5 linked regions of the Rattus norvegicus genome follow. The protein of the gene in region 1 purifies or fractionates together with the protein of each later gene. This does not show direct contact. Links are inferred from orthologs where the notes say so. Each region holds a gene or a part of one and is shown in the gene's direction. Other genes may lie near its edges. The genes, in order: Pnma2, Cep290, Recql4, Mark4 and Pkn2.

Region 1 (5,329 bases):
GTCCTGAGGTGAGGTCTTTCAACCTCTCTGCCTTCCAAGTTAGAACACCAGTGTAGGAGGCCTTATGCCTATGGTCATGTGTCTAATTGAACTACCCGGTAATTCTGCCCCCCCCCCCAGCCTGGTTCCTTCAACAGGTTATCCTGTAGGCCCCTTTAGTGAGAAAAATACAAAATCCTTGCATTCTTCCTCCATACCCGAATATTTCCTTAGTGGCTCTTTGTACATTAAGGGTGTTTCACTTATGGTTTTAAAATTATTTTTGATTAACTTTCATTTTATGTATGTATGTATCTTGCTGGAATATATGCACATGCACCGTGTACATGCCCGGGGCTGTTGAAGGCCAGACGAAAGTGCCAGATGCCCTGGGATTGAAGTCACAGAGTAAGCCAACATGTGGGTGCTAGGAACCAAACCTGTGCTTTTAACCACTGAGCAGTCTCTCCAGACACGTGGGGCCTTTAAGACTAGTGGATTTTCACGTGACAATTTTTTTCTGGATCTGGGCATCCAGTGCCATTGGTTGGCTGTGTTTTTCTTTCTTGTTTGTTCGTTTTCTGTTTTGTTTCAGTTTTTCAAGATAGGATTTCTCTGTGTAAAAACCCTGGCTGTCCTGGAACTTACCCTGTAGACCAGGCTAGCCTGGAACTCACTCACGGAGTTCTACCTGCCTCTGCCTTCCAAATGCTAGGATTAAAGGCACATGACACCATTGCCTGGTATGTCTCTTTTGTTTTTGCTCTTTCTGAGAAAAGGTCCTTTATGTAACCCCAGGCTGGCCTCAAACTCCCTATGTAGCCTAGTGAGTTAAACTTCTGATCCACCTACCTTCACTACCTAAGTGCTGGGGTAATGGGCATACGCCACGATGTCTGGTTTGCACAGTGCTGGGGATCCGACTCAAGGCTTTGTGCATAGTGACAAGCACTCGACCAACTGAGCTACAGTCTTACCCCTGCAGTGCTCATTTCATCTCTCATTCCTCCAAGTGACTCCAAGCGAATGAATATGGGGAGGAAGTTCATTCCCATATTTTACAAGGAGATCTCAGGCCTGGGTTGGTCTGAAGTTCTGGGCCCCCATTCTGTCAGACACAGGGTGAGGTAGCACCTTGCTCTCCCGGTTTTGGCACAGAGGCCCAGTCTTCAGCACCTTCCAGGAAGAGTGGATCTGCTCCTACTGCTGCCATAGTTAAGGCCAGCATCTATGGCATATGGCCTCCTTCAGAGTCATGGGAAATGTCCAGGCCAAAGGGGGATGGTTGTAGCACCCTAACATACCCTCTACAAGTGTCTGAGAGGCACGGCCAAGCTCCAAATTACAACATATCAGGTAGCATACCACATGGGCCCCATAAGAACGCACAGTCTAGTGTTGGCACTCTGTGACTTTTAGCCAATTAGGAAGCTGCTTCTCTGAAGGCATCCTCGTGGCTAAGGGGTCACACTGTCACTGGGAGCATCCCCTTTTACACTTCTAGTTCTCCCCAGCCCTTCAAAGCAAGCATGGGGCACACATCACTTAGTGGTGAATATGTTTTCTGCCTTTTGTCTTTTTCTCAATGGCCCAGTCAAATTTAAATGACAATGTTAAATTTAAACATCTTAGTTACCTTTCTATTTCTTTGCTAAAGCACCATGACCAAGGCAACTTATAGAAGAAAGCGTTTAATGGGGGCTTCCAGTCTCGGAGGGGAAATTCATATCCATGCTGGCCAGGAGTATGGCAGACAGGGAGGTACAGTGCTGGAGCAGTAGCTGAGAGCTTATATCTGATCCACAAGCATGGGACAGAGATTGACCATGGGAATGGTATGGACTTTTGAAATCTTAAAGCCCACTGTCAGTGATGCACCGCCTCCGAAATCCTTCTCAAACAGTTCCACAAGCTAAGGACCAAGCATTTGAATACATGAGCTCATGGGGCCCATTCTCATTCAAAGCACCACAGGGGGAGTTGGATGGGTGACTTTCCATGTGTGGCCCTTGAAAAAGTCTGGCTAGACACAAAACCTGAAGAGGACTGACTTGTAACTCCAAAGTGTACTTCTTTTTCTGAGATTTGAATTTTCTCTGCTATACCCATGTTTAGTTAGTCTTAAGTGTTTGAATGGATTCTGTTTAGTTTTGTTTGTGTCTTCTTTTGAGACATGATGTCTCTATGTAGCCCAGATTCACTTCAAACTTGCAATCCTCCTGCCTCAACTTCACAAATGCTGGGAGTGCCACCAAACACAATTCGGTTGGATTTGTTTTTAAAGATGGTTCTCATGTAGCCCACACTGGCTCACACTCCCTGTGGCTAAGAATGATCTGAAACTCCTGATCCTCCTGTCTCCAGCTTTCCAGTGTGGGGATTACAGGGATGTATTACCAATGATTGCTCAATTTGTATGGTGCTGAAATTGGACTCTAGGCTGCCTAAAGGCTTCTTCCAGGCAAGCACTCTGCTAACTGAGGAGCATCCCCTGAACAACTCTTTCTTCAAAGAAGTGTAGTGACACTGTCCTGTTTAGGTTGCTCCTTTAAATTCAGAGGACGGTCATTTCTTTCATCCTTTACTGAACTGTTACGTCTTTAATAAGGGCATTAATCTTTGTTACTAGATTTTAGGCCTAAAAACATGTTATTCATGTTTGTATAACAGGACAGCTTGACTTGGCTGAAGGTAAGACACATGTATACTACTGTATAGAGGTGTGTGACATCTTCCTGATCTGGAAGCTGAGTACGTGGCTCCTTGACTCTTGAAGAACATTCTGGAACACATAAACAGGTATTTTACTACATCTGCTAATTCATCCTTTTGATGAAGGGTGAAGGTCTTGAATCCTGCTCACTGACGGGGTTTTCAGGGTGGAAAGACTGGATTTTATCTGGTCCACACAGGGAAAAAGTACAGTCGGCAAAAAAGGGGATTCACCAGAGTGGGGTAGGCACAAGCACAGTGGGAGTTAGAGCCCTTGGTCCACTCCTAGTTTCACCCCACACTAGAGTGTGGGTGTACCCTGGGACATAGAGGGCTATGTATAAAGTGAGTCTCTGTTTCCCTAGGAGTCCTTGCTTCCTGCTGTGTGAGTCCCCAGCGTCGGGTGCTAGAGTGGACACCACCTACCCACTGATTAGAGAGAGAGGTGAGGTGACAGAAACCAGGAGACTGTTGTTCCAGGTGCCTCACAGTGACCAGAGTCAACACCACACAGCTACAACAAACCCTCGGAAACAGCAGCAAACGTACTGCAGAGCAACAGCCCACCTTACCTACCATCAGCCTTGCTGTGGGTCTGAAGACAGACAGGGAGCGTCTGGTTCTTGCTACTGGGTGAAGAGACAAGGCATTTGGTCCACAAGACTTTGAGCGGCTTGGAGACCAAGTGCAAAAGCACACCCTGGGACAATGGCAGTGGCCCTGCTGGAGGAGTGGTGCAAGATCATGGGTGTGGATGTCCAGAAGTCCCTGCTGGTGATTGGCATTCCTGTGAACTGTGGTGAGCTTGAGGTCCAGACAGTCCTACAGGAGGCGCTGAAGTGTGTGGGCAGCTACCGGCTACTGGGCAAAATACTCCAGAAGCAAGACAATACCAGTGCTGTCTTACTAGAACTTATGGAGGACACGGATATGTCTGTGGTTCCCAGTGAGGTGCAGGGAAAGGGAGGTGTCTGGAAAGTGATCTTCAAGACCCCTAATCAGGACACTGAGTTTCTCCAAAGACTGAACCTCTTTCTAGAAAAAGAAGGGCAGACGGTCGCAGGGATGTTCCGAGCCCTGAAGCATGAGGGAGTGTCTCCAGCCACCACACCCTGCACATCCCCCGAGTTATTGGCCCACTTGGTAGGGCAGGCAATGGTTCACGCCCAGAGGCCTCTGTTGCCTGTGAGGTACTGTAAGCTGAGAGTATTCTCTGGGAGCACAGTAGCTGCCCCAGAGGAGGAGCCCTTTGAGGTTTGGTTGGAACAGGCCACTGAGATAGCCAAAGAGTGGCCCATCCCTGAGACAGAAAAGAAAAGGTGGGTGACAGAGAGCCTCCGTGGCCCTGCCCTGGACCTCATGCACATAGTACAAGCAGACAACCCTTCTATCAGTGCAGAAGAATGTCTGGAGGCCTTTAAGCAGGTGTTTGGGAGCATGGAGAGCCGTAGAACCTCACAGGTCAAATACCTAAAAACCTATCAGCAAGAAGGAGAGAAAATCTCAGCCTATGTGCTCCGGCTGGAGACTCTGCTCCGGAGAGCTGTGGAAAAAAGGGCCATCCCCCGGAACATTGCTGACCAGGTACGTCTGGAGCAGGTCATGGCTGGAGCCAACCTTAGCAACGTTCTTTGGTGCAGGCTACGGGAGCTGAAGGATCAGGGCCCACTGCCCACGTTTTTGCAGCTGATGAAGGTGGTCCGTGAGGAGGAAGAAGAAGAGGCCTACTTTGAACACGAGAGCAGAGAGGAGCCAGGGGAAAGGGAGGGCTCTGGCCGCTGGGACAATTCAAGGAACAACTGACAGACATCCCTACTCCATTTCTGATCTGGTAATGCTTGACAAGGCTAATCCCATTCTAGTGCACTTTGCTTTAAAGTGCAGGACTGAAGTCAAGCATTAGGAATGAAGGTTTTGGGGTTTTTTGTTTTTCCTTTTTCTTTGGTTTTGATAGGTTCTCACCTTATAGCCCAGGCTGGCCTTGAACTGGTATTCTTCCTGCCTCAGCCTTCCAAGTTTGGAGTTCTGGGATTAGAGGAATATACTACCACTAGAGCTCCATCTTGTTTTTCTTTCTGAGGTAAAAAAAAAAAAAAAAACCTGGAGTTTGAGGGACTCTAACTAGATTGTTAAAAAAAAAAAAAAATACAAGACTAAGTTCCAATACCTAAAACTCCTGAATCTTAGTTTCCTACACAAGGGTTGGCCAGACAGCTTGGTTGGTCAAGTTGCTTGTCAGTCTCTTCAGACGGAGTGATAATGTGAACAGGAGATAGAAACTGGCCAGGCAGGGGCTGAAGAGCTACTCGTCAGCAACTAAACACACTTGCTACTCTTTTGAAGGGATCCCAGTACCCATGCGGTGGTTCCCAACTATCAATAACTCTTGTTTCAGGGGATTCAACCTCTTCTTCTGGTCTCTTTAAGCACTGCACACATGTGGCACATACACATACATGCAGACCAGACACATAAAATAAAAACAAAACCTTAGGAAGGAAAGAAACAGGCCGGGCAGTTTCTAGGCATTCCCAATGTATCCCTGGTTCTCTGGTCCTGTCCCCTTCCTAAGGGTTACACTTGAGGGTGGGACCTTTAGCCAGACACTAATCCATTTGTGGATAGCTGTAGAATTAGG
Region 2 (5,422 bases), on another chromosome or scaffold:
TAGAATCTAAGATGACAATTTGAGCATGTATATTTATGAATATATTTTCATTTCACCTAGGATCCATGGCTTGCTATTTGCTAATTTTTTTTATCAAAAACTTTTAAAACGGGAATAGATCTTATATGTATATTGAGTTTTGTGTATTTTTTCTGGATGCACACTATAATTCCAGCTGCTCTTAATGTACTACTGAGACCTTTTAAGATGTGTACACCATTCATGTCTTTAATAACTCCATAGTATGCTAGTGAATGGATACCAGTGAGCAGGTTACCCCAGGGTCCATGCTCAGCATAGTTCCAAAGCTTCTGGCATAACCACACTGAACCTCCTAACCCAATCGTGCCATCCATTATCTGATAGTGTGATAAAGTGGTGTCATGTTCTACTCTACAGGATTACACCAATCTTACATTCTGAATAATCTAGAACTATTTCATAGAGCTCCTGTAGAGTCCTGATGCCACTCTTACTAATGCGTGATATGATTTGTGCCAGGCACTATGCTAAGGGATTTACAAAACTTTCACTTTATTCTTAGAATGTCATAGGATCAGTATTGTTGTCTTTATTTTGTACTTGATAAATGATTAGTAACCCATCTGTCCTCAAGATCAGGACAACTGGGAACTGGCATAAGAAGGTCAAGCATTAATTCTATGAAAGTTCAGAACTCCTAACCATGCCATGGTTTTAACCCCTGTGCTACTGTGCTTCTTGATAACTAAAACCAATATTCATCCACCTAGAATGGACGTGTGATTGCTAGCTTGGTGTGCTCTTAACACAGTACCAGTGATCTATTAATTCTGTTGACGTTAGGAGGGTCTCTAATTTGTCTAATCCAAAGCCCTTATACTACCTATGTCTTAAGTAAAGGAAGACCAAAAGATAAGCATTTCAGAGAATACTCTGCTTCAAAATCAGTCTGTTTGGATGTCCTAATCAACATGTAAAATGAGGGCAATCAAAGAGCTTTCAGAATACATTATACATATTCCTTAAAGCAGTATCTCACCGACAGTGTGTGTGCAAGACCTCAGTGACTATGCTCAAACTAATAAAGATATGCATATTGACGGCGCATACTGGGGTACTACTCACAGTAGCCAGGGTATAAGATCAGCTACTCTGTCCATCAACAGATGCACTGATAAAATGTGATATAAAATTCTTTAATTTTTATTAAGTCATAAAAATATCTGTATGAGAATAAATGACTACAGGTCATCTTACTCAATAATATAGGTCAGTCTTAGGAATACAAATATTTTCTCTTCTCTTCATCTGTAGAATTGAGATTTACATGAGATAGGACATGAAAATACAAGGGCGACTCTTTTTTTTTGCCTCCAAAAGGAAAATGCATTGTTGTTTGATTTGAAACCTTCTTTGTCCCCTGTCTTTGAGTTATAGAGGACTCCAGTACACTTCCTGTCCTTATGAAAACTTTTTTTCCTCATTTCATCAAACTTTAGCATTAAAACAAAACTCAAAGATTGCAGTGCCATGACACTGTTATTTCTTAGCCTTTGTGCTGTGTGACAACAGCCTTTTCCTCCTGCACTCCTTCATCTATGCCACACACAGTCTTAGAAATTTGGCATATAGTGTAAAACAGTTATATACGGTAGCCAAAGGTATTTGGTGTGAAGGTATAAATGGCCAGCTTGCCATTTTAGTTCTTTGCCTATACAAGTACTTAACAAATTTACTGGTTGCACGATTTTCTCTCAAAAACAAGAATTTCTCTCATATAAAAAAGAATAACCCACATTTCTGATGCCTAGCAGCTACCCCTCTTGCTTGTTGTCTTGTGACCATAGCTACTAGTGGGAGCAGTTTCCATGAGAAGTCTGCACACCATACAGGGCCAGATCATGGCAGACTGTAGGTTTCATGTTTCCTGATTATTCTGAAACAAATCCTCTATCTTTAACTGACTCATAGTCAAGATAAACATGTCATAATTTTCATGGCTATTCTGGCAGATTCTGATCAACTGAAGAAAAAGATAAATGACCTGGAGACACACCTCAGAAAGTCAGAGCCAGAAAAGCAACATTTGAAGGTAATTCTTCTCTGTATCTAACTTTAGTATGCTCAGCGTTTTGTGAAATCAGCTTGAGGAAACAATTTTTATGATCACCATCTTTAAGTATGTGCCTAAAAATCCATGGATTTATTTTACATTTACTTTATTATTATTGGACTCATGACAACTTTTTATTAAACAACTGGCAACAGCAAAAAATCAGACAGAGAGGATTAGAGAATAAATTTATTTTTAAATTGTAACCAATGCAACCCTCTTAGGGTTTTTTTTTTTTTTTTTTTTTTTTTAACTGTTTTCTTAATTTGTGGGTCATGGTGGAAAAGGTGTTTTTTAAGCACCTTGAAATTATTTTCAGGGATCTTTACCTTAAATCATTTCTGTCCTCCCCCTTAAGACTCCAGAAACACAATGGCTAGAAGTGAGCCCTGGCTGCTCACCGCTGTTAGTGTAAACACCGCTCACATCACTCTCCTTCACCAGGTACTCAACTCTTACAAGTCCCAGAGTTTCCGTGATCATCAATATTAGATAGAAAGGTAAAAAATCAGAACATTAAAAATACTGAAAAATCTTAAATGTTGTAAAAAGCAAAATCCTTTTAGCTTGCCTGAGAATATCTGAGGCAGTTTAAAGATCCAATCTTAAAATTAAGCCAAAGATGGCAGCTTATACATTATGCACATGGTACAATGGAACCTTGAACGGTAAAATATAAAGAAAAATATTTAAGATTTTGAGTTTTCGTGTTTACAATCAAATTTAAATTTCAAACCAAAAACATGTATCCTGTATGTAATTTTTAGGAGGAAATTAAAAAGCTGAAAAAAGAACTGGAAAATTTTGACCCTTCATTCTTTGAAGAAATTGAAGACCTGAAGTACAATTATAAGGAAGAAGTGAAGAAAAATATTCTCTTAGAAGAGAAGTTAAACAAACTTTCTGAACAATTTGGATTTGAATTGCCTAGCCCACTTGCTGCTTCTGAACAACGGGAAGATGGAGAAAGTCCTAATGGCGTCCCGATTTATTAATGGCCTCATTTAAAACTGTAGATTTAAAACTACTGATGACATAGAAGTTTCAGCTGGAAATCAGTCTCTGACCTACAGAATTTACCTCTCAAAATACTGTATTATTTTGCTTAAAAATAAAATCATATTTAGTTTTAACTTGTTAGAAAAGTATATTTTTGAAGACCTCAGTAATTTGTGACTATATAGTATATAATGAGCTACGACAAAAATTTATGACTATATAGTATATAATGAGCTATGATAAATATTTCCTATTTTCATATTTTAAATTCTCTAAAAGCATAAAGGTAAGCTTATAACAATCTTACTATTTAAAATTGATTATTTTATACTTATTTTTGTGTTAAGTTATTCAAACCTAACGATGATTTCTATAAATACATAGAAACATGTTTAGAAGTTGACATGTGTTTTGCCAAGCAGCTAGGAAAAATAAATTGACCTGTGTAAACATGGCAAACCTGTCCCAATAAAAAAATCACAACAGTCCCAACTATTATTTCTATTTTATATATCAAGGGTTATATCTTTGAGCCTATCAAATTTCTGCTTATCTATTTTTGAAAACTTATTAAACAAAGACTGGTGATCAAAAGCACAGTCATATTTGTCCAGGTTCATGTTAATAATAACTGGTTTGGAGTTCATGTAGGTATCCGGAAGTGGCCAGCATAAACCAAGATGGTGGCGGTGGACCTGTAAGGAGAAAAAAAATGGTGGTATTAACTTTAGTCCGTAAATTACATCGTAACTTGCTTGTCTGTAAATTACATTGTAGCTTACTTGTAAATACTTATTTCGGGTGTCTGCTACCTACCAGGTACAATGTAAGGGTCCACCTTTTCTTACTTATTTTAATTAAATGTCATAGCTATCATTAAATGTCAGTGCTGTCTGCCTTCCCCATTCGAATCTGAGCTTCCTGAAGGCAGAGCAGTTGCTTTGTTAACTCTGCTAATTCCTGAAAATGACTAACAAAATCAGGAGCTGCTTCCTAAACATTTAATGAGTAGAGTCTGTTGGTGACTACAGAAAAGAAAGAAAGAAAAATGTGAGCCAGACATGTCTGTCACCAAAGGGAATATTCGTGGTAGACTGACTGGTAGGGCAGTCTGGATCACAGCTGGCTGGGACACTGTCAGATAGCTGTTTCCTCCACATGAAAACGTGCCCTCTAGATGGAGCCCCTTTAAGACCCAGAAAGTAAACAAACTTCACAAGTCTCAGGAAGGTCCCTAAAACTGTCAAGATTCCCAAAACTTTCTGCAAGGTTACAATTGCTGGAGAGAAGATTCTCCTCCCACCACAGCAGCTGGGAGCTGCCTGCAAAATGTGTGGGGAGTCCCCAGGATACTGCTTTGTGTCGTCACTCAAGCGGGGAGAGCTCCTGACTGACTGATCCTGCAGCCTTTGGTCCTCCGTGCTGGGAAGTAGCTCCTTACCCATATTCCTGTAAGTAACCCCAACGATGTCCCTGGTTCACTACGGGGTCTGTACTTTATCCATGGTAAGTGGGCATCTGTTCCTACCTCCCTAGAACTAGACAGTCACACAAGCAGACAGCGTGTGTTTGCCCAGATGGCAATGGGAGCCAGTGATGGGAAGTTGAGAAGGGCTGTGTCACGGCAAGTCTCGCCGTCCCTCAACAGCATTTTGCAGGAAGTAATGAGTCAGTTGTGAAGAATGTGCAGAAATGAAAGATGAGTGCTTTAGGGGGCAATAGAGTAATTCAAGCCACTGATTTGCATACTAGCCTAAATTAAAACGAGCACCTAGTTGAATATAAAACAGATTCAATGATGAGAGCTTTAAAGAACTGGTGGCCAGATGTCTGAAGTAATGGCAAGAGGACTTAAACAGTGAACAGCGGCTTCTAATTTCAGTGAGTAATGTGGAGATGGGAGTGCAAAGACTCAGATTTGAACATTATGAATTTCATATGCCAGTGAGAAATCAGACAAGTCCAGGGGACAGGGCACAAAGGGGTAAGGTAATTCATTCTGTGTAAGCTGCCACTGGGCACTTTTCTACTCAACAAATTCTCTAATAAGTTAGTTGGGGAAGTGCTGAATTACACTAGGCACAGCATGGATGAGAGAACACAATGTGCACGAGTTCCCAGGAGGGAATGTGCTATCACTTTACCTCGGAAGAACATCCGGTATAGAAGTGCCTGGCTGAACATCTCCATCAGGACGAAGTCAGCCTGACACTACCCATAAACTTGACTGACAGCATACGAAACGAGGGAAACACTAACTGCATGCCAGAATCTGAGGGTCATCTTTTTATTTTCAGAACAACTTTAAGCTGATTTTGTCATTACCTT
Region 3 (5,166 bases), on another chromosome or scaffold:
TCCCCTCGGCCAGCTTCCCTAGACAGAGGGAACTATGTTCGACTTAACATGAAAACCAAATGCTTTGTACGAGTTGGGGCCAGTCGGGGCAGGCTTCTCCGAAAGCAGGTGAGATATGCCGAAAGGAACAGGCCAGCCCTTCTCTCCTCCCATCCACTCCTAATTGGTTCTTCCATTTGTGGCCCTTCTCCAGGTATGGAAGCAAAAGTGGAAGAAGAAACAAGAGTGGTTTGGGAAAAGTGGACCCAGGGCCACAGTCAAGGACACTTGTTTCCGGTGTGGGCAGTTTGGTCACTGGGCATCCCAGTGTTCCCAACCAGGTAAGCCTCTGCCTTAGTATTGGATCATTTAACCCCCGTGGGTGCTAGGGAATCACGTACACAAACGAAAGGCTCCAGCAGCTCTTAACCCTGGTCCAGGCTCCACCCTGACCATCCAGCCAAAAGGTGACAGGAATGACAAACATCCCATTTCCACGTTGGGGGGAGTAGCACAGAAGACTGGCACCACTTCCTGTAACCACTCTGGTGAGTCAGGGGGGATGTGTGATGTGACCTGTGGCCATTATGCCAGGATGGTCTCTGTCTATTCTGGTGTTCCCATATCGCCCTCTCTTGCCTATCTTAGCAGGTGAGGAAACTGAACCTGCTGGACCAGTGCTACCGGTGCCTCATTGCCCCACGCCAGTGTTACCCCTCTACCCACCAGGGCCCTTGGGACAGGTAGCAGGTGAGTGAGACTTAATGGTCCAGACGTTTTTTTTTAAAGATGTATCTATTATATATAAGTACACTGTAACTGTCTTCCGACACAGCAGAAGAGGGCATCAGATCTCATTACAGATGGTTGTGAGCCACCATGTGGTTGCTGGGAACTGAACTCAGGACCTCTGGAAGAGCAGACTCCTTATCAAGACATTGTAGGGCTGGAGAGATGGCTCAGTGGTTAAGAGCACCGACTACTCTTCCTGAGGTCCTGAGTTCAAATCCCAGCAACCACGTGGTGGCTCACGACCATCTGTAATGAGATCTGATGCCCTCTTCTGGTGTGTCTGAAGACAGCTACAGTGTACTTATATATAATAAAAAAAAAAAAAAGACATTGTAGTTAGTGTCCAGTTGCTGTGAAGAGACATCATTACCAAGACAACTTTTTGATTGTTGGGTTTTTGAGACAGGGTTTCTCTCTGTTGTAGCCCTGGCTACCCAGAATTTACTTTATAGACCAGGCTGGCTTCACACTCTTAGAGATCTGCCTGTTTCTGCCCCCCAACCCCCAAGTGCAGGGTTTAAAGGTGTGAGCCACCACTCCCCTGGCAACCACAGCAACTCTTATTAAAAAAGCATTGGAGGGGCTGGGGATTTAGCTCAGCGGTAGAGCGCTTGCCTGGGAAGCGCAAGGCCCTGGGTTCGGTCCCCAGCTCCGGGGGGTGGGGGGGCATTGGAACTGGAACTGGTGGAACTGGCAGACTCAATGGGTTGGGAGCCTGCTTACCATTTCAGTAGCTAAACCCATTATCATCATTGTGGGAAGTAGAAAGGCAGGCTTGGTGCTGGAGAAGGAGCTGAGACCTTTTCATCCTGATCCACAGGCAGCAGGCACAGAGACACTGGACTTGGCCTGGGCTTTTGAAACCTCAAAGCCCATTCCCAGTGACACACTTCCTCTATCAAGGACACACCTCCTAACCCTTCCCAAACAGTTTGCCAAGTGGGGACTGAGTATGCAGACTTGAGCCTGTGGGTTTATTCTCAGTCAAATCACTGTAACTTGTGTCCACAGACACCCCTGCTGAGGTATTCCAAGTCCTGGAGCAGCTAGGGCACCACACCTTCCGCCCTGGGCAAGAGCGTGCTGTCATGAGGATTCTTTCTGGTAGGTGTGGCTGCCTAGGAACTGTACAGTTTGTCTAACCAGTTGAGCCTCATAACTGCCTCTTGTGCTATTCAGGCATCTCCACACTGTTAGTGTTGCCCACGGGTGCTGGCAAGTCTCTGTGCTACCAGCTTCCTGCACTGCTCTATGCCAAGCGAAGCCCCTGTCTCACACTGGTCGTCTCTCCTCTCCTGTCACTCATGGATGACCAGGTATGTGGACGAGCTCTCAGTAGCGGGAAACTCTGAAAACTGACAGCCCTGGGACCCTTAGGTGCTTCTTGTTCCTGAAACACACCAGTTGACCTCTTTCTGAGGGTGACACAGCCTAATGCCCACTGTTCTCCATCTGGTCCCTTACCTCCGCTTCTCCAGGGCCCAGTGTCAGACGCATTTGTTTCAAGAGGGCTAAGTATCTGAGAGCATTCAGGGGAAGAAAGTAGCTTTACTGAGCTGTGACAGCATTGTCTCTCCAGGTGTCTGATCTGCCTTCATGTCTGAAGGCGGCCTGCCTCCACTCAGGAATGACCAAGAAACAACGAGAATCTGTCTTGAAGAAGGTCAGGATGGCCCATGGATGGGGGGGTGGGCATCCATCTACACAGTCCCTCATTCTTTCTTCCCTGCAGGTACGGGCAGCCCAGGTGCATGTGCTGATTGTGTCCCCAGAGGCCTTGGTGGGATGCGGGGCTAAGGGTCCTGCCAACCTCCCCCCGGCCGCTCAGCTGCCTCCAGTCGCCTTTGCCTGCATTGATGAGGTCCACTGCCTCTCTCAGTGGTCACATAACTTCCGGCCCTGCTACTTACGTGTTTGTAAAGTGAGCTTCCGTCTGGGTCAGGGTGGAGGTGGACTTGGACCCAGGTGGGCTAAGTGACTGAACACTATCCCTGGTTCAGGTACTTCGGGAGCATATGGGTGTGCGCTGCTTTTTGGGTCTCACAGCCACAGCCACACGAAGCACTGCTCGTGATGTGGCCCAGCACCTGGGCATAGCTGAAGAGCTTGAGGTCAGTGGGTCAGCCAGCATCCCTGCCAATCTGCACCTCTCCGTGTCCATGGATCGAGACTCAGACCAGGTATGTGTGTACATACCAGGGACCCTGTTAGAAGCCCATAGCTGTCATGTTAATCATTCCCTATTGCCAGGCTCTGGTGACACTGCTACAAGGTGACCGCTTCCGTACCCTGGATTCGATTATCATTTACTGTGCTCGACGAAAGGACACAGAGCGGGTGGCTGCCCTCCTCCGGACCTGCCTGTCCACAGTGAGAGATTCAAAGCCAAGAGGTAGGCACACGCAGGGTTCGGCCCCTAGGAACCCTTTCCTCTGCGTGCTGGCTATGATCTCATCAATCATTGGTTTTACAGGCCGTGGCCCTGAGACTTTAGCGGAAGCATACCATGCTGGCATGTGTAGCCAGGAACGGAAACGAGTACAACAGGCCTTCATGCAGGGCCACCTGCGCATGGTAGTGGCCACAGTGGCATTTGGGATGGGACTGGACCGTCCAGATGTTCGGGCTGTGCTACACCTGGGACTGCCTCCAAGCTTCGAGAGCTACGTGCAAGCTATTGGCCGTGCAGGACGTGATGGGAAGCCTGCCCATTGCCACCTGTTCCTGCATCCTCAGGTTGGCAACCCCATCTCCCCAGACTAAGGGAGACCCAGGGTTACATTATTCCTCAGTCACTTCAGCCCCAGCTGCTATCTTGTTTTCCTGTCAGCTGCCACTCTGGGCACAAGTGTGATAGCTGTGTGCTGTCCCAATGCAGGGTGAAGACCTCTGGGAACTGAGCAGACATGTCCATGCTGATAGCACTGACTTCCTGGCTGTGAAGAAGCTGGTACAGCGTGTGTTCCCAGCCTGCTCATGCGCCCAGAGGCCTATGTCCCCACTTGAGGAAGTCAAAGAGCACAGTGGCCAACAAACATACCCTGTACTGGGACTAGCCTGCCGGGGCCATAAGCGGGCACTCCCAGTGCAGTCTACAGTACTGGCTCTGGACATGAAAGAGGAGGGTAAGGAGCCATGCGTGACAGGGGTTACAGGGAGAGGCTGCTGCTGCCACACCTCCTGAGCCTTTCTCTGCCTCTAGCCATTGAGACTTTGCTGTGCTATTTGGAACTACACCCTCGGCACTGGTTGGAGCTGCTGCCATACACCTATGCCCACTGCCATCTGCGTTGCCCTGGGGGCAGTGCCCAGCTGCAAGCTCTGGTCCACAGGTGAGCATATCTCACCTCAGGGAGGAGAAAGATAAAGAATCAGGGCTGCTGACCACATACTCCTTTGTTCCTTGGGCACAGGTGTCCCCCTTTGGCTGCATGCTGGGCCAAGTGGCCACCTAAAGACACAAGTCAGGGTAGCAGCGCCTTAGAGTTTGATGTGGTGGAACTGGCAGACTCCATGGGCTGGGAGTTGGCCTCTGTACGGCAGGCTCTCCACCAGCTGAAGTGGGACCCAGAGCCAAAGAAAGGTATGCCCACCACTACCCTGGCCTGGGTTGTGCTAGCCAGCTGTTCCCTTCCGACTGACACACTTGCCGACAGGTGCACCACAGGGCACAGGAGTGCTTGTGGAGTTCAGTGAGTTGGCCTTTCACCTGCACAGTCGTGGGGACCTGACAGATGAGGAGAAGGACCAGATCTGTGACTTTCTGTACAGCCGTGTGCAGGCTCGTGAACACAAGGCCCTGGCCCACCTACACCAAATGTCCAAGGCCTTTCAAAGGTGAGAAGGAGGTAGGCAATGGGTAGGTATACCCGTTCTGACCCCATGGGCAACTCTTGACAGGTCTGTCTTGTACACAGTGTAGCATTTCCCAGTTGTGGACCCTGTTTAGAGCAGTCTGACGAGGGGCACAGCAATCGGGTGAAGACCCTGGTCAGCTACTACTTTGAGGAGGAGGAGGAGGAGGAAGAGGAAGAAACTATGAAGGATACTCAGGATCCAAAACCTGGGCAGACCCAGGTAAGTGCCACACCTCTGAGGACAATTCCTAAAGCCAGGGACAGTGATGTGTCCCCATATAACGCTGACCCCACAGTCCAGCCCCTGCTTGGCTCAAGGTTTCCTTGGCTGCTCGGGGTGTGATTTTATGTAACATGCTGTGGAGGCTCAGGTGAGGTCACATGCTATCCTCTCACAGCTTCAGGATTGGGAGGACCAAGTTCGCCGCGATGTCCACCAGCTCCTGTCCCTGAGGCCAGAAGAAAAGTTTTCAGGAAGGGCTGTGGCCCGCATCTTCCATGGAATTGGTGAGGGCTGCAGGGTTGCCTGATGTCAGCA
Region 4 (6,849 bases), on another chromosome or scaffold:
TGTACACATGTACATAAAATAAATACATAAATAAATATTTAAAAGAGAGAGAGATGAGGGTTCAAATTCCTAGCACTTGTGAGTCTGAAGCAGGAGGATTGAAAGCTAGAGGTGAGCCTGTGCTATATATTGAGATCATGTTTGTCTCATGCCTGTGGGGATTTGGCAAGTGGAGACAAGAGGTTGGCCTGAAGTTCAAGGTCAGTCTGGGCTACAGAAGGAGACCCTGTCTCAAAAAACACTTAACTGGCAGGGGAGTTACTGTGACTGAAAGGTGGATTTCTGTGGGCGAGGCTTCTTCGGATTGCTGACCCCTCGATTTCCCCAATGTGAAATTGACCGCATAATTTGTGGTAGCGGAGACTTGTGATCTCAAACTCCTCAGTTAAAACAAAAGAAAAACAAACAACTCCCAGAGTTATAACTGGGTGTGGTGCTCGCGCCTGCAGTCTCAGGCCTCCGGGGTGGAGGTAGGAGGATCAAGGCCAACCTCAACGGAGGAGAACCTGGGTTATATGATAACTGGTCTCAAAATCAATAAATGAGTAGGGTTAGCTGTGTGGCGGGGTGCGGTGAAGGTGCTTGCCTTTAAGGTGGGTGACCGGAGTTTGATCCTGGGGACTCACAGAGAGAGGAGACAACTGACTTCCAAATTTGTACACACACACACACACACACACACACACACACACACACACACCACACACTCACACACACACAAGCATGTGCACGCATCTGTAGTTATTGGAGAAGCCAGAGAAGGTGTCAGGTCCCCTAGACCTGGAGTTACAGATGGTCATGAGCCACCATGGGGGCGCTGGGAACTGGGCCCAGGTCCTCTGGAAGAGCAGCCAGTGCTCCTAACTGCTGAGCCACATCTTTAGTGCACCCTGCCCCAGTTCAATACAATTCGCTTCCTTGCATGTTTGCATGATTTAACTTTTTACAAAAGATTCATTTATTTATTCTGAGTACACTGTTGCTATCTTCAGACACACCAGAAGAGGGCATTAGATCCCTATTACAGATGGTTGTGAGTCACCATGTGGTTGCTGGGATTTGAACTGAGGACCTCTGGAAGAGCAGTCAGTGTTCTTAACCACTGTGTCACCTCATTTTTAACTTTTTTTTTTCTTTTTTTCGGAGCTGGGGACCGAACCCAGGGCCTTGTGCTTGCTAGGCAAGCGCTCTACCACTGAGCTAAATCCCCAGCCCCCATTTTTAACTTTTAAAAGTGTTTATGCTTAGTAGCCAGTCCTATAACCAGCTTGCTCGAGCTAGCTCCAGCACATGGCTGCTATCCTTTGTCTCTTGTGGCTTTTATTCTGTCTGATAGGGTCTCATATAGACCAGGCTAGTCTTGAACTCACTATGGAGTTGAGGATGATCTGGAACTTCAAACCTTCCAGGATACCACCATGCTTGTAACATCTAATTTTCACAAAGGGAAACTGAGGCTCAGGAAGACTTTCTAAGACAGCGAGACAATGGGCTCTGGGCCAGGGTGATGCATCCCCCCCCTTTCCTCCCACAAGGCACTGTGTGTTCTCAGCACAGTCTCACCCCACCCCCACCCCCCACACCCGGGTCTGTATGCCCCTGCAAGTCAACACCTGTTTGGGCTTCCAGCTATCTTGGCAGGCAAGTGAGGCTCTCTCTCCTTCATTGTACAGACTGGGAAAGTGAGACAGCCGGGGCTGCTGGCCAGTTATCTACCCTTGCTGCACCCAGGGCTGAAGCTCAGGATGTCCTTGAACCCCTGATCTTCTTCACCCCAGGGACTGCCTCCAATTTTGGTTTTTCTTTTCTGAGATAGGGTCTTGCTGTGTATGGTCTAGAACTCACTGCAACCCATTCTCTCAATCGGGATGACAGGCACACAGGCCTGCCTCTCTCTCTCTCTCTCTCTCTCTCTCTCTCTCTCTCTCTCTCTCTCTCTCTCTCTCCTTTCTTGCTGCCACTCCTTTATTCCTTTCCTCGGCAGACTTCCAGTCCTGGAGTTTCTCTTTGTCTCTTTAGTTCCCTCTGCCTTGGCGCCTGATTATCTCCGTTCTGTCTTTGTCTCTGTGTCTCTGTGTCTCTGTGTCTCTGTCTCTGTCTCTGTCTCTGTCTCTGTCTCTCTCTCTCTCTCTCTCTCTCTCTGGGGTGTGTGTGTGTGTGTGTGTGTGTGTGTGTGTGTGTGTGTGTGTCTCCCCGGTCCCTGTCTCTGTCCCCTTTCTGTCCTGATCCTTTTGTCTCTGCCCTTGGCTTCTCTGTCCCTCTTTGTGACTTTGCTTCTTCCCACCTCGCGTCTGTGTGTCCCCTCTCCCATCTCTCAACATCTCCCTCTACTCTCTCCTCAGCAACTCTCTGCCGCTGACTCTGATTCTCTTGTGAGAACTTGCTGGAGACCGGCACGCCCAGACCTGCCTCCGCCCCCAGAACCGGGGAGCCAGCCCAGGCCTGTGCCTTTAAGAGCCGGCGGCAGGGGCGGAGTCTCAACTGACCCCGCCCACCGCGCCCCTCCCCCTGACGTCCCTTCCTCCCCAGCCCCTCGGTCGCCTCCCTCCGCCGCCGCCCCGGGCCGGCTCCGCGCCCCCTCCCCGGCCCCCGCCCGTGCACCCTCCTGTCTGCCCGCTGCCCAGATGGCGCCCCGGGTTCCCCTTGCACGGGGCCACTAGGACCCTCTGTGTCTTCTCCCCTCCCCCGTCCTGCCCTCTCTCGCTCTCGCTCAGCGAGGACTCGGGCGTCCAAGGCGCCCAGCTTTTGAGCTCGCGTCCCCAGGTCGGCTGGGGGGGGAGGGGAAGAGAGGGGACCCCGAGATCCCCACCCCCCCCCACCCGGCCGCCCCTGTCCCTTTCCCTCCTGGGACCCCAAAGAAGATGTCTTCGAGGACGGCGCTGGCCCCGGGCAACGATCGGAACTCGGACACGGTGAGTGGGGCCCAGCCCCTTGGGGAACCCTGGCTGAGTCCAGCCATAGAACCCCTCCCGGACCACTGACCCCGCCAGTCTTGACTCCTTTCCCGGCTCCACATCCCAGACCGACGCTTCCCATGACTTTGAGGCCTCTCCGCTCCCTCCTCCCGACAGCCCCAGCCCAGCCCGACCCCTAGGGGCGCCCCTGTCTTTGGACCCTTCTCCGGTCCCTCTGCAGAGCGCTTCCGCCTGGTCTCTTCCCTCCAGGAAGCCCCCTCCCCTGCCCACCGGCAGCCCCTCCCTTCCTCAGCTGCCCCGTAGTCCCCGGCTCGCTCGCTCGCCCGCAGTCTGGCCTCGACTCTTCCCGGATGGCATGGGCCCCTGTTCCCCGAGGCGCAGCCCTGTCTCCCCCCTACCCCATCCCCCTCGCAAGGCCCGACCCGGCCTGGCCCTGCTGTCCTCCCTGCCTCTTGTCGAGTCGGGGTGCTGGCTCTCCCTGCTACCCCTGGCCAGTCCCCAGATCTGTTTGGGCTCCTGAGAGCTGCCTCCCCAGGAAGCCAAATGGCACCTGGGCCCAGGGCCCTGCCCGCTTCCTTCAAGGTGTCTCTACTCCCTAGCCTGACCCTGCTGTGCCAGGCTACTCTGTCCTTGGATCCTTGTCGCCTCTGGGGTCCCCTAGATGCGACCCAGGCGCGTCCAGTCTTCCTAAGGAAAACCTTGGTTTCTAACCTGCAGGCTCCAATCCTGTGCTAGGGTTCCAGGCCCCAGGCCAGACTGACTCTGGCTCCTCCTGAGACTCTCCCCAATTTCACCTCCTCATCCCCTCCCCACAACTCCCTTCTAACTAGAGCCCCTTTCCTTCCTGGATGTTGGGCTTTCTGGAGGAAACACCACCACCACCACCACCACCACCACCACCACCACCACCACCACCACCACCCCACCACCCCCAGACCCTAGGCCTTCCCTTCTCCCTTCATTCTGCCCATGCCTTTGACCTCCTCCTGCCTGGGTCTTTAGCCCTGACATCTGGGAGTTTACTGAGCCCAGATCCTCTGGTTTGGGGACTCCTGGCTGCACCGTTTCCCATGCCAGGGTCTTCCTTCATGGAGGCAAGGCAGGACCCCGCTCCCCATCCTGCATTTCCCACAATTCTGACAGTTTTCCAGGTGTCTAAGTCAGCCCACCGATCCATTCTCGCTTATGCTGGTTCCTCTACCGGCCACCCTCTCACCAACCTTCAACACAGCCCAGCCACACACTTTTGTTTTTGGACAGAGTTCCTCTATGTAGACCAGGTTGGCCTTGAACTCAAAAAGATCCACTTGCCTCTGCCTCCTGAGTACACCCTGAAGCTTTTCCTGTTTCTAATGCACATGGTAGCTATTAGATAATGCCTCTCTGCCCCTCTGCCCCTGTACCCTGTTGGCCTAGGTTTCAAGTTGGAGGTTTCACTCAGGCCCACCCACTATGGTTTCCCCAGTCATTCCAGAGAGGAACCCGGTTTCTGAGTCTTGGATTCGAATGCTGCCTCCATGGGCCAGATTACATTGTAAAGCCTGAAGAGGCTTCCTTCTCTGAGCCTGATTCCGGCCTTGGAAAGTATGTGTGTGTGTGTGTTGGAGGGGTTGGGGGGTAACGACTTGAGTCCCCCAAAGAATTACCGGAGACATGTGGGTGAAGGCTGGTACATAGGCGGCGCTCATGGCTGTTGGCTGCTGGCATGACTGGGGATCTGAGTCAGAAGGCGGTGTGTTCTCAACTACAGCTGTCTTTAGTCGTCAGACAAGCTCCCAGAGTCTGCTCCAGCCTCAGTTTCCTTGTCAGTGGGTTGATGGGGGCACCTCCCTGACAGGGACTTCTTCAGGTCACATGTTGTGATTATCGCTACCTTAATTATTCAAATAAACTCAGATTCACATCGCACTGCTGTGTGACCTCAGGCCAGTGACCTCACCTCTCTGAGCCTCTCCCCTGCGTTCCTGAGATTGTTGGGGTGTAGTGAGGGTACTGAGGTGATTCGTTGTGTCTTTTGACTCCAGTCTATGAAGATAACTTTGTCTCGTCTGGAGTGACATCGGTCTCTTTCTGCAGTCTGAGGTTATAGACCCCTCCCCTGCTACCTGCTGACCGTTGTGATACCCACAAAAGGTCACATTCTTCTACACCAACTAATAGAGCTGTGGAGACCGGGCCGGCTTCCCTATGTTCCCTAGCAACAGGCGCAGTGTTCAGGCACCAGTCTGTCGGTCAGGAGGGATCCGGGCCAGCTGGTGGTGCGGGCCAATTTTAGCTTCTGCCCCTGACCCCAGGGGGTTTCGTCATCCCCTGCCCCAGCTACCCCCTTGCAGGGGTCCCTCAGCCCTGCAGCCTTCAGTGCAGTGCCTTCCTGCTTCTGAGGGAGCCCCCTGTCAGCACCCAACAGGGGTTCTTCTCCAGGCTCCTAACTCCGCAGGGATCAGAGACCTTATCTTCCATCTCTACCACCAGCCTGCTGCTCCTGGGGCCCTGAGCCATGAGCTGAAGTGGTGGCATCTGGGGGGATCAATGCTCAGGAGCCTGGAGCACTTTCCCTGCTTGAGCCTTGGGGAATCCTTCCAAGTCTGGGGTTGAGAATGATTACATTAGCTGGACCCACAGGAGTTGGGGTACGAGTGGCATGTGCCGGGGACAGGTGAGGGTGAGGTACCAGCCCGGGGTAATCCTATTTTTATTGGCTGTGCTAGGGATGTACCATGGGCTAGGGCTCTGCCCACCATATCCACAGCACAGTACTGAGAGTTAGGCGGGGGGGGGGGGGGGGGGGGGGGGGGGTTCTACCACTGAGCCACGCCCCCAGCCCCTCACTGGGGGATTCTGGGCAGGGCTCTACCACTGAGCCACGCCCCCAGCCCCTCACTGGGGGATTCTAGGCAGGGGCTCTACCACTGAGCCACGCCCCCAGCCCCTAATTAACAAGTTCTCTACTGCTGAACTATCTCCTCAGTTCTTTTTTTTTTTTGTCTCAGGCAGTATCTCACTGAGTTGCTTAGGCTGACCTTGAACTCACTACATTGTTCTGATGGACCTTGAGTTTAAAAGATTGCCTCTGATTCCCAAGTAGCTGGGATGACATGCCTGTTGGGCTTCGTCCTTGTGAGGAAGCTGGCACCTGTCTATCCTAGCCTTTGTTTTTCCCTAGCCTGTGTGTGTTCAGGGCCTCCCTCCCTGGCCTCGGCTGGGAACAGAGTGTAGGTGAGAGACCTGTTTGTACATGACCTGGCAATGGTATCATCCTCCCAGTGAAAGCCACATGGGAAGTAGGGGTAGCGGAGTAAGCCTGTGAGCTACTGGGGAAACCGAGGCAGGAGGATTTCAAGTTTTCAAGATCTTATCTCAAAATTTAAATTAGAATGAGGGCTGGGAGTTGGGATGGGGAGATGGCTCACTGGGTAAAGTGCTTACTATGCAAGTAAGAAGACCTGGGTTCAGATTCCAGCACCCACGTAAAAGCTGGGCATGGTGGGACACGCCTGTGTTGGGTGGGGGGTGGGGCAAGTAGAGCTAGGCCGATACCAGGTGCTTAGGGCCAACCAGTCTAACTGACACGACAGACTCTAGGTTCAGTGAGGAGAGTGTTTCAGTGGAGGGTAATAGAGGGAGATGCTCAAAACTGACCTCTGACCTCCATAGGAGAGCAAGAAAGAAGTGGGTACTGGGGACATAATGCAGTGATAGAGCCCCTGCCTAGAATCCCCCATTGAAGGGCTGGGGGCGTGGCTCAGTGGTAGAGACCCTGCCTAGAATCCCCCAGTGAGGGGCTGGGGGCAGGGCTCAGTGGTAGAGCCCCTGCCTAGAATCCCCCAGTGAGGGGCTGGGGGCAGGGCTCAGTGGTAGAGCCCCTGCCTAGAACCCCCCAGTGAGGGGCTGGGGGCGGGGCTCAGTGGTAGAGCCCCTGCCTAGAATCCCCCAG
Region 5 (6,249 bases), on another chromosome or scaffold:
AAAGTCATTTTCACACATGAGACAGTTTGATTCATGTCAGATTAAATTATGAGTTTCAGAGCAAACATATTCTTAACACTTAAGCAGAAGAAAAGAAAAAATGTTTTTTCTGTTTCTTGTTCTTTTGTCTAATTTAAGGGAACACAAATATTGTGTCTAATTAATATTTGCCCATGTATTTGACACTTTCTGAACTTGTAACTCAAACTTAAAGATTTGTGTCTATTGTTTTAATTATGTGGATATGTATGCGGGTGTTCACATGTGAGTACAGGAGCCCAGCAGAGGCAGGGGGGCAGCAATAGGTGCCCTGGTGACTAGGCAGAAACTCTGGTAGAGAGTTTGCAGAGCAAAGTAACACGCTCTGAATGCTGAGCCGTCCCTCCAGTCATTAACTAGAACTTAGTAAGACAGGAAGAATTTTTAAAATTTGTTTGAAGTTTCATTACTAAGGTAAACATTAGATAATGACTTCTGATTTTAAGAGTTATTATTGATCATGCTAAAGAAACATTTATCCTCTTTGGTTTAAAACAGTGATGGGGAAAATAGCAATTTTGAGTTTTTGAAAATATTACTGGTATTCAAAATGAGTGTCCACTACCTGATGAATGGATAAACTATATGATATACATACAGCATGCAATGAAATACTATGCTGACTTTAAAAGGGAGATTCTAGTGCAGGTAAGATGACTCAGTAGGTGAAAGTGCTTGCTGTCCAGCCGTGATCTGAGTGCAGTGTTAGGATCCCGTGAGAGCAAGAGTTCTACTCCTTAAAAGTTGTCCTTGGACCACCACATGCATGCCTACACACACACACACACACACACACACACACACACACACACACACACACACACACACACCACTATCATCACCATTACCACCAACAATATATTTTAATTTTTCACTTGGCATGGTGACATTCACTTTTAATCCTGGCACTTGGGAGGTAGAGACAGACAGATCTCTGAATTTGAAGCCACCTACATAGCAAGTTCCAGGGCAGCTAGGCCTACACAGAGAAACTCTTATCTCAAGAGACCAAATTAAATAATTTTTAATTTTAAAACATGACATTTTTATATTTGTAACAATATACCTAAACCCAGAGGACTTCACGTCGAATGAAATTTGCCAGGCTCCGAAAGAAAAAATGTTGTGTGATCTCATTTGTATGTGGATCCTTGAAAAGAAAGTGGTATCCCTGGTGCTAGGGTAATGTGAGAGGAGAAATGGGAATAAGTGGGTCCTGGGCTACAGGTTTTTAGGACAGATGAATAGGTCTATAGAGAAGATGAATAGTGTAGCTCAAAAACAAAATATTAGAGGTATAGCTTTTAGTTCTTTTAGGATACATATACACTAAAAGCATACCTAGAAGATTATGGATATATATCACTCTGCTTATAGTGGTCATTTTGGTATATTTATATATGAATCAAACACTTTATACCTCTCAGATACGTAGCTGGAAATGTAGCTAAGTCGAATGGTAGAACAGTCAACTATTATGGGTCGGACCCTGGACTCAGTCCCCAGCATTGTAACCAGTCAGCCAGCCAATAAGTAAGATTCACTTATTTTCTCTCAAGAAAAACAACCAATAAAGTTGTTTTTCTATAACACTTTAAAAAAAGTCTTGGTGGCGCATGCGTGTGTGTGTGTGTGTGTGTGTGTGTGTGTGTGTGTGTGTGTGTGTAGCCAGATGTGGTGGCACAAATCTTTAATTCCACCACTGCAGGTGGCAGAGGCAGGTGAGTGTCTATCCCTGGCCAACAAAGACACCATAGTAAGTCTTTGTCTCAAAAAATCAAACATTATTATTAGATTGTGCATAGTTCTTCTAACCCTTTCAATTGCTAGGTTATCAGTTGATCTATTCAGAATATAAGAAAGAATTATCCTTTTCTCTTCTTACCTTTTCATTTTTGATAGGATCGGAAACTCCATGGTACAGCTCAGCAACTGCTCCAGGATAGCAAGACAAAAATAGAAGTCATCCGAATGCAGATTCTTCAGGCCGTCCAGACCAATGAGCTGGCTTTTGATAATGGTGATGGACTACACTTAAATTGTTGTTGTCTTTGACAAGCCTAGAGTACTAAATAAATGTCATCATAAAAAAGGCAGTTGGGGCTAGAGAATCAGCTTACCAGTTATGAGCACTTGTTTTTCTTGCAAAGAACCTGGGTTTGATTCCCAGCACATACAGCAGCTCATAACCATCTCTAACACTAGCCTCAGGGATTCAGGAACCTTGCTGTCCTCTGTAAATACCATTCATGCACATGGTGCCCATACATACATGCAAGCAAAAAGACAGAATAAAAAAACTATGCACATAAAATAGAAAAGTCTTTAAGAAGATATATCAAAACTTTAAAAAGGGAAAAGAGGCAATCACTGAGGGTTAAGGGGGAAGAAAAGTTTCAGTTTGGGAGGTTAGTTTTTGTTTACTTTTACTTGGGATGATCACTTTTACATATTTGCCCTTTGTTTTTCATGTGCAGAACATATTTCTTCATTTCAATAAGGAACCAGATTTTTTTAGCTAATGCTTTAAGAAGTGGGTTGCTATTTAAGAGTGTTCCTTTCTTTAGCACTTTTCCTATTTATGTCTTTATTCCAATGGGACTCTTGAGCTAGTTGTTAACGTAGAGCCAGAGGCTACGATTGTCTCTCAGCGTCTGCACATTGGTTTCAAGTCCCCCGTCAGTGCTATGGCTGCTCAAGTCGTAAGTGGAATGAGTCATAGTGTCTGCTGTAGAGAGTATTCGTGTGTCCTTTCCTGTACTTCTAAGGCATCTGTGGATCGATTGTCACAGCTAGTGCAGTGTCAACACAATGGAAATAGAGGACTGTCTAGGAACTGTTATCAAGAGCGGAGTCTCACATTATTGGTTCAGACCTGGTTTTCCCTCAAACACTTTGTTCCAGGGGTGGTTGAGCACTAGTATGGAGCTTGCTAGTGTGGAAATCCACTGTGTTTCCATATCATTAAGTTATATATAGCAGTGTCTTCAGGCCTAAAGCCTTTTGACAGAGTGTGATTTAGATGTAAAATGGCTGGCTAAAACAACATTCTATATTTCAACCTTTTATTTATTACTATTGTGTTTATTGATTTAACTAAGTTAATGTCAGTAATTCATTTTTTTCCTGATATTTTTAATTACTAGACTAAAATGATTCAATTAATAAATGGATTTTCTTTCTTTTTTATCCTAGCAAAACCTGTGATAAGCCCTCTTGAGCTTCGAATGGAAGAATTAAGACATCATTTTAGGATAGAATTTGCAGTAGCCGAAGGTGCAAAGAATGTCATGAAATTACTTGGCTCAGGAAAAGTAACAGACAGAAAAGCGCTTTCAGAAGTAATTTTAAAAATAATTTTTAGCTGTTTATTATGTTATTTGAAGAATATCCTGGCTTAAATGATGACAATCTTCTCTTTTCCAAACAAGGCCCAAGCAAGATTTAATGAATCAAGTCAGAAGTTGGACCTTTTAAAATATTCACTAGAGCAGAGGTTAAATGAACTCCCCAAGAATCACCCCAAAAGCAGTGTCGTCATTGAGGAGCTCTCCCTTGTTGCATCGCCAACCCTGAGTCCACGACAGAGTATGCTGTCCACGCAGAACCAGTACAGCACACTGTCCAAGCCAGCAGCACTAACCGGTGTGTAGCATGCGGCTCTTCGTTTCCTTCCTGTCAGATTATGGTTAATAGTTGGAGTCAAAGGCATGTGTACAGGACTTCCCTTCAGTTATAGTTTAGGTTCATACAGTAAACTTTACTATGTGCTGGGACTGATAGTACAGCATGGTATCCCTAGTACAGCTAGTATCCCTAGCTACTTGGGATACTGAAGCAAGAGGGTTACAAGTTAAAGGCTTGCCTGGACAGCTTCAGTAAAACCCTGCCTTAAACACGTAACACACTGGAAGAGAGCTTGCTTAGCATACACAAGGGTTCAACCTATGAATGAAAGAAGAGGCTTGCAATGTAATATACAACCACTATTACCACTGTCAAGTTCTGCAACATGTTCATCAACCCAAAAGAAAACCAGTGCTCATTCAATGCCACTCCTCTCCCTAGGCCCCAGCACAATTAATCGTCTTCTTGGCTCAATCATTTGTTTTTTCTAGAGATTTCATTAAAATGGGATTATATACTCTGCAGCCTTCCATAACTGGCGTATTTCACAGGGCACACTTAGTCATCTTCACTGAACGATGTCCACTTTTATACTGTGTTCTGTTTTATTTGTAAGGATATTTAGGTTCTTTTTTTTACCAGCAGGGTATTGTGAATAATACCTCTGTGAACATTTGTGTATGGTGTTTGTTTGTTTGTTTGTTTTGGAACACCTGTTTTCAATCTAGAAGGACACACATCTAGGAATGCACTTGCTAGGTCATATGATTCCTTTGTATTTAAAATTTGAACAGTCATCAAACTTTGACAGGTGTTATGTAATTTAACATTCTCCAAAACAATGCATGTCGAGGTTCTCTACATCCTCACAAGCACTTGTTATTTCCTTTTCTGTTGTTGATTTTCAAGTTATTATAACTATGCTAGTAGGGCCATTATTGAAAGTGGGCTAGAGATTCCTGGCTGGTTTTCTGAAACTGTCTCTTTCTTTTTTCAGTTCTCAATGTGTTTGTTTCATAGTTTTTGACTTTGTTGTATCTATGCATATAATTGTTATATCTCTTTCATGAATTAACTTCTTTTTTGTTTTTTATAAAAAAAACCCTGATATCAAGTCTGGCTTATCTGATTTTAAGTTAGACATCTCCAGTCTCTCAGTGGTTACTATGTGAAGCAAGTATCCTATTTAATCTTAATGAAATACATATTTGGTTATGTGAGTCTTTGTGATAAGGTAGAATTGGATCATTTAATACCTTATGTCAGTGTCTTATAACTATGTAGTTTCATCCATTTATATTTATAATAACTGTCAATAATATATAATAAATTCTAATGCTAATTATTGGAAATTATGTTAAATTTTATAAGCCTATTCTATATGCTTGCCTTTACTTCGGACATATAATTATAAGAGAGTTTCCAGGTCATCTGTACTTCTGACAGATGACTGCAAATTTTCAGAGCCTTAGGCTCACTCCATTCTCCGAGACATGAGTTCTATCAAACCCATGAAGAGCTATACTTACCATTACAGCTGTATAATAAAGGATACAAATTAGACTCAGACAATTACCACATGTTTTAACTTATGTGGGATCATAGATTGAAGAATATGTTGTGTGTGTGGAAGAGATAAAACTAGAAAAAGGATCATGAGAATGAATGAAGAGCTCTTGAAGGAGGGTAGAAGAAAAGAGTGAAAGCTGTAATAAAACAGAAGAGGGTGAGATGAAGGGACCCAGCCAAGGGGGCCAGGAAGCACGGGGAGGAAGTGAGTAAGAGGCAGGTACACTGACACAGGTGTTTGAAAATGCCGGGATGAAGCTCATTAGGATGCTAGCCTAAAAAGTTAATTTAAAGTGGATGGGGGAGAGGGTAGGATGAGCCAAAGGGAAAATGCTTGCAGGTTCTTAAACATGGCACTCCCTGTTTCTTAGGATCAGTCGCCCTGACTAACACATCAGTGTCTTTCAGCACCTAGGCAGTTCTCTTGAGCTTTAAATGCCCTCGTGTTTATTGGGACTTTATTATATGGGTGTGACTGAATGAATCATTACCATGTGAGGAAAATTGCCCTGCTTAGGAGGTCAGGACATCAGTCTTAGATGACTCAAAAGTCCCAAACCTAATATTATGATTAGTCCTTCTAGGAATGTCTTCTTCCCTCATGAAGTTGTCTAGAGACCTTCTGTGAGACACCTTGTTAGCATAAACTCCAGTGTGGTCTAAGGCACCACCATGAGTAACAGATTTCTATAATGACCACGGTTGAAAGGATTTAGATTTCCCTCCCATAAACTAAGAGCAAAAATCTCTTGAATATAACAAAGGTGCTTACTAGAAAATGAGGCCAGCCTGTGCAATTATGAGACGCCTGTCTCAGAACAGAATTGGGAACCTGTGAGATGCTGTATTTCACAAGATGTCCTCTGAGCATAAATGCACACATGCATACATACATACATGTACATAAGATCAAACGGTCACTTAATGTAATTTAAAAGTTTTTTAAACAAAAGACTTGCCTCTGCTACTTTGCTATTTGTTTTACAAATGTTATTTTTTCTATGAGATGACCTT

The links.
Region 2: the proteins of Pnma2 (region 1) and Cep290 purify together in Homo sapiens (co-immunoprecipitation; 3 studies listed by BioGRID and IntAct, with this or other methods). This does not show direct contact. The link is inferred for Rattus norvegicus from reciprocal best matches to the Homo sapiens genes PNMA2 and CEP290.
Region 3: the proteins of Pnma2 (region 1) and Recql4 purify together in Homo sapiens (affinity purification with mass spectrometry; 3 studies listed by BioGRID and IntAct, with this or other methods). This does not show direct contact. The link is inferred for Rattus norvegicus from reciprocal best matches to the Homo sapiens genes PNMA2 and RECQL4.
Region 4: the proteins of Pnma2 (region 1) and Mark4 purify together in Homo sapiens (co-immunoprecipitation; 3 studies listed by BioGRID and IntAct, with this or other methods). This does not show direct contact. The link is inferred for Rattus norvegicus from reciprocal best matches to the Homo sapiens genes PNMA2 and MARK4.
Region 5: the proteins of Pnma2 (region 1) and Pkn2 purify together in Homo sapiens (affinity purification with mass spectrometry; 3 studies listed by BioGRID and IntAct, with this or other methods). This does not show direct contact. The link is inferred for Rattus norvegicus from reciprocal best matches to the Homo sapiens genes PNMA2 and PKN2.

What each region holds. Positions count from the first base shown.
Region 1 is NC_086033.1:45,288,973-45,294,301, forward strand, and holds part of Pnma2 (paraneoplastic antigen Ma2), read left to right. Parts: exon of another isoform or gene 1-8; intron 9-2,649; 5' UTR 2,650-2,778; intron 2,779-3,056; 5' UTR 3,057-3,399; coding exon 3,400-4,494; 3' UTR 4,495-5,329.
Region 2 is NC_086025.1:37,282,274-37,287,695, forward strand, and holds the end of Cep290 (centrosomal protein of 290 kDa), read left to right. Parts: intron 1-1,994; coding exon 1,995-2,074; intron 2,075-2,271; exon of another isoform or gene 2,272-2,539; coding exon of another isoform or gene 2,540-2,587; exon of another isoform or gene 2,588-2,862; coding exon 2,863-3,090; 3' UTR 3,091-3,600; downstream 3,601-5,422. Other genes in the region: Rlig1 (RNA ligase 1), read right to left, coding at 3,601-3,789, 5,420-5,422. UniProt on the Homo sapiens protein: Involved in early and late steps in cilia formation. Its association with CCP110 is required for inhibition of primary cilia formation by CCP110.
Region 3 is NC_086025.1:110,304,451-110,309,616, reverse strand, and holds part of Recql4 (ATP-dependent DNA helicase Q4), read left to right. Parts: coding exon 1-108; intron 109-193; coding exon 194-320; intron 321-401; coding exon 402-527; intron 528-627; coding exon 628-729; intron 730-1,782; coding exon 1,783-1,875; intron 1,876-1,950; coding exon 1,951-2,087; intron 2,088-2,350; coding exon 2,351-2,434; intron 2,435-2,503; coding exon 2,504-2,692; intron 2,693-2,771; coding exon 2,772-2,951; intron 2,952-3,021; coding exon 3,022-3,163; intron 3,164-3,244; coding exon 3,245-3,507; intron 3,508-3,649; coding exon 3,650-3,896; intron 3,897-3,973; coding exon 3,974-4,103; intron 4,104-4,184; coding exon 4,185-4,354; intron 4,355-4,427; coding exon 4,428-4,608; intron 4,609-4,688; coding exon 4,689-4,848; intron 4,849-5,026; coding exon 5,027-5,135; intron 5,136-5,166. UniProt on the Homo sapiens protein: An ATP-dependent DNA helicase which unwinds dsDNA with a 3'-overhang in a 3'-5' direction. Does not unwind more than 18 bp of dsDNA. May modulate chromosome segregation. The N-terminal domain (residues 1-54) binds DNA Y-shaped DNA better than ss- or dsDNA.
Region 4 is NC_086019.1:88,232,542-88,239,390, reverse strand, and holds the start of Mark4 (MAP/microtubule affinity-regulating kinase 4), read left to right. Parts: upstream 1-2,837; 5' UTR 2,838-2,861; coding exon 2,862-2,912; intron 2,913-6,849. UniProt on the Homo sapiens protein: Serine/threonine-protein kinase. Phosphorylates the microtubule-associated protein MAPT/TAU. Also phosphorylates the microtubule-associated proteins MAP2 and MAP4.
Region 5 is NC_086020.1:234,495,139-234,501,387, reverse strand, and holds part of Pkn2 (serine/threonine-protein kinase N2), read left to right. Parts: intron 1-1,941; coding exon 1,942-2,059; intron 2,060-3,234; coding exon 3,235-3,380; intron 3,381-3,470; coding exon 3,471-3,684; intron 3,685-6,249. UniProt on the Homo sapiens protein: PKC-related serine/threonine-protein kinase and Rho/Rac effector protein that participates in specific signal transduction responses in the cell.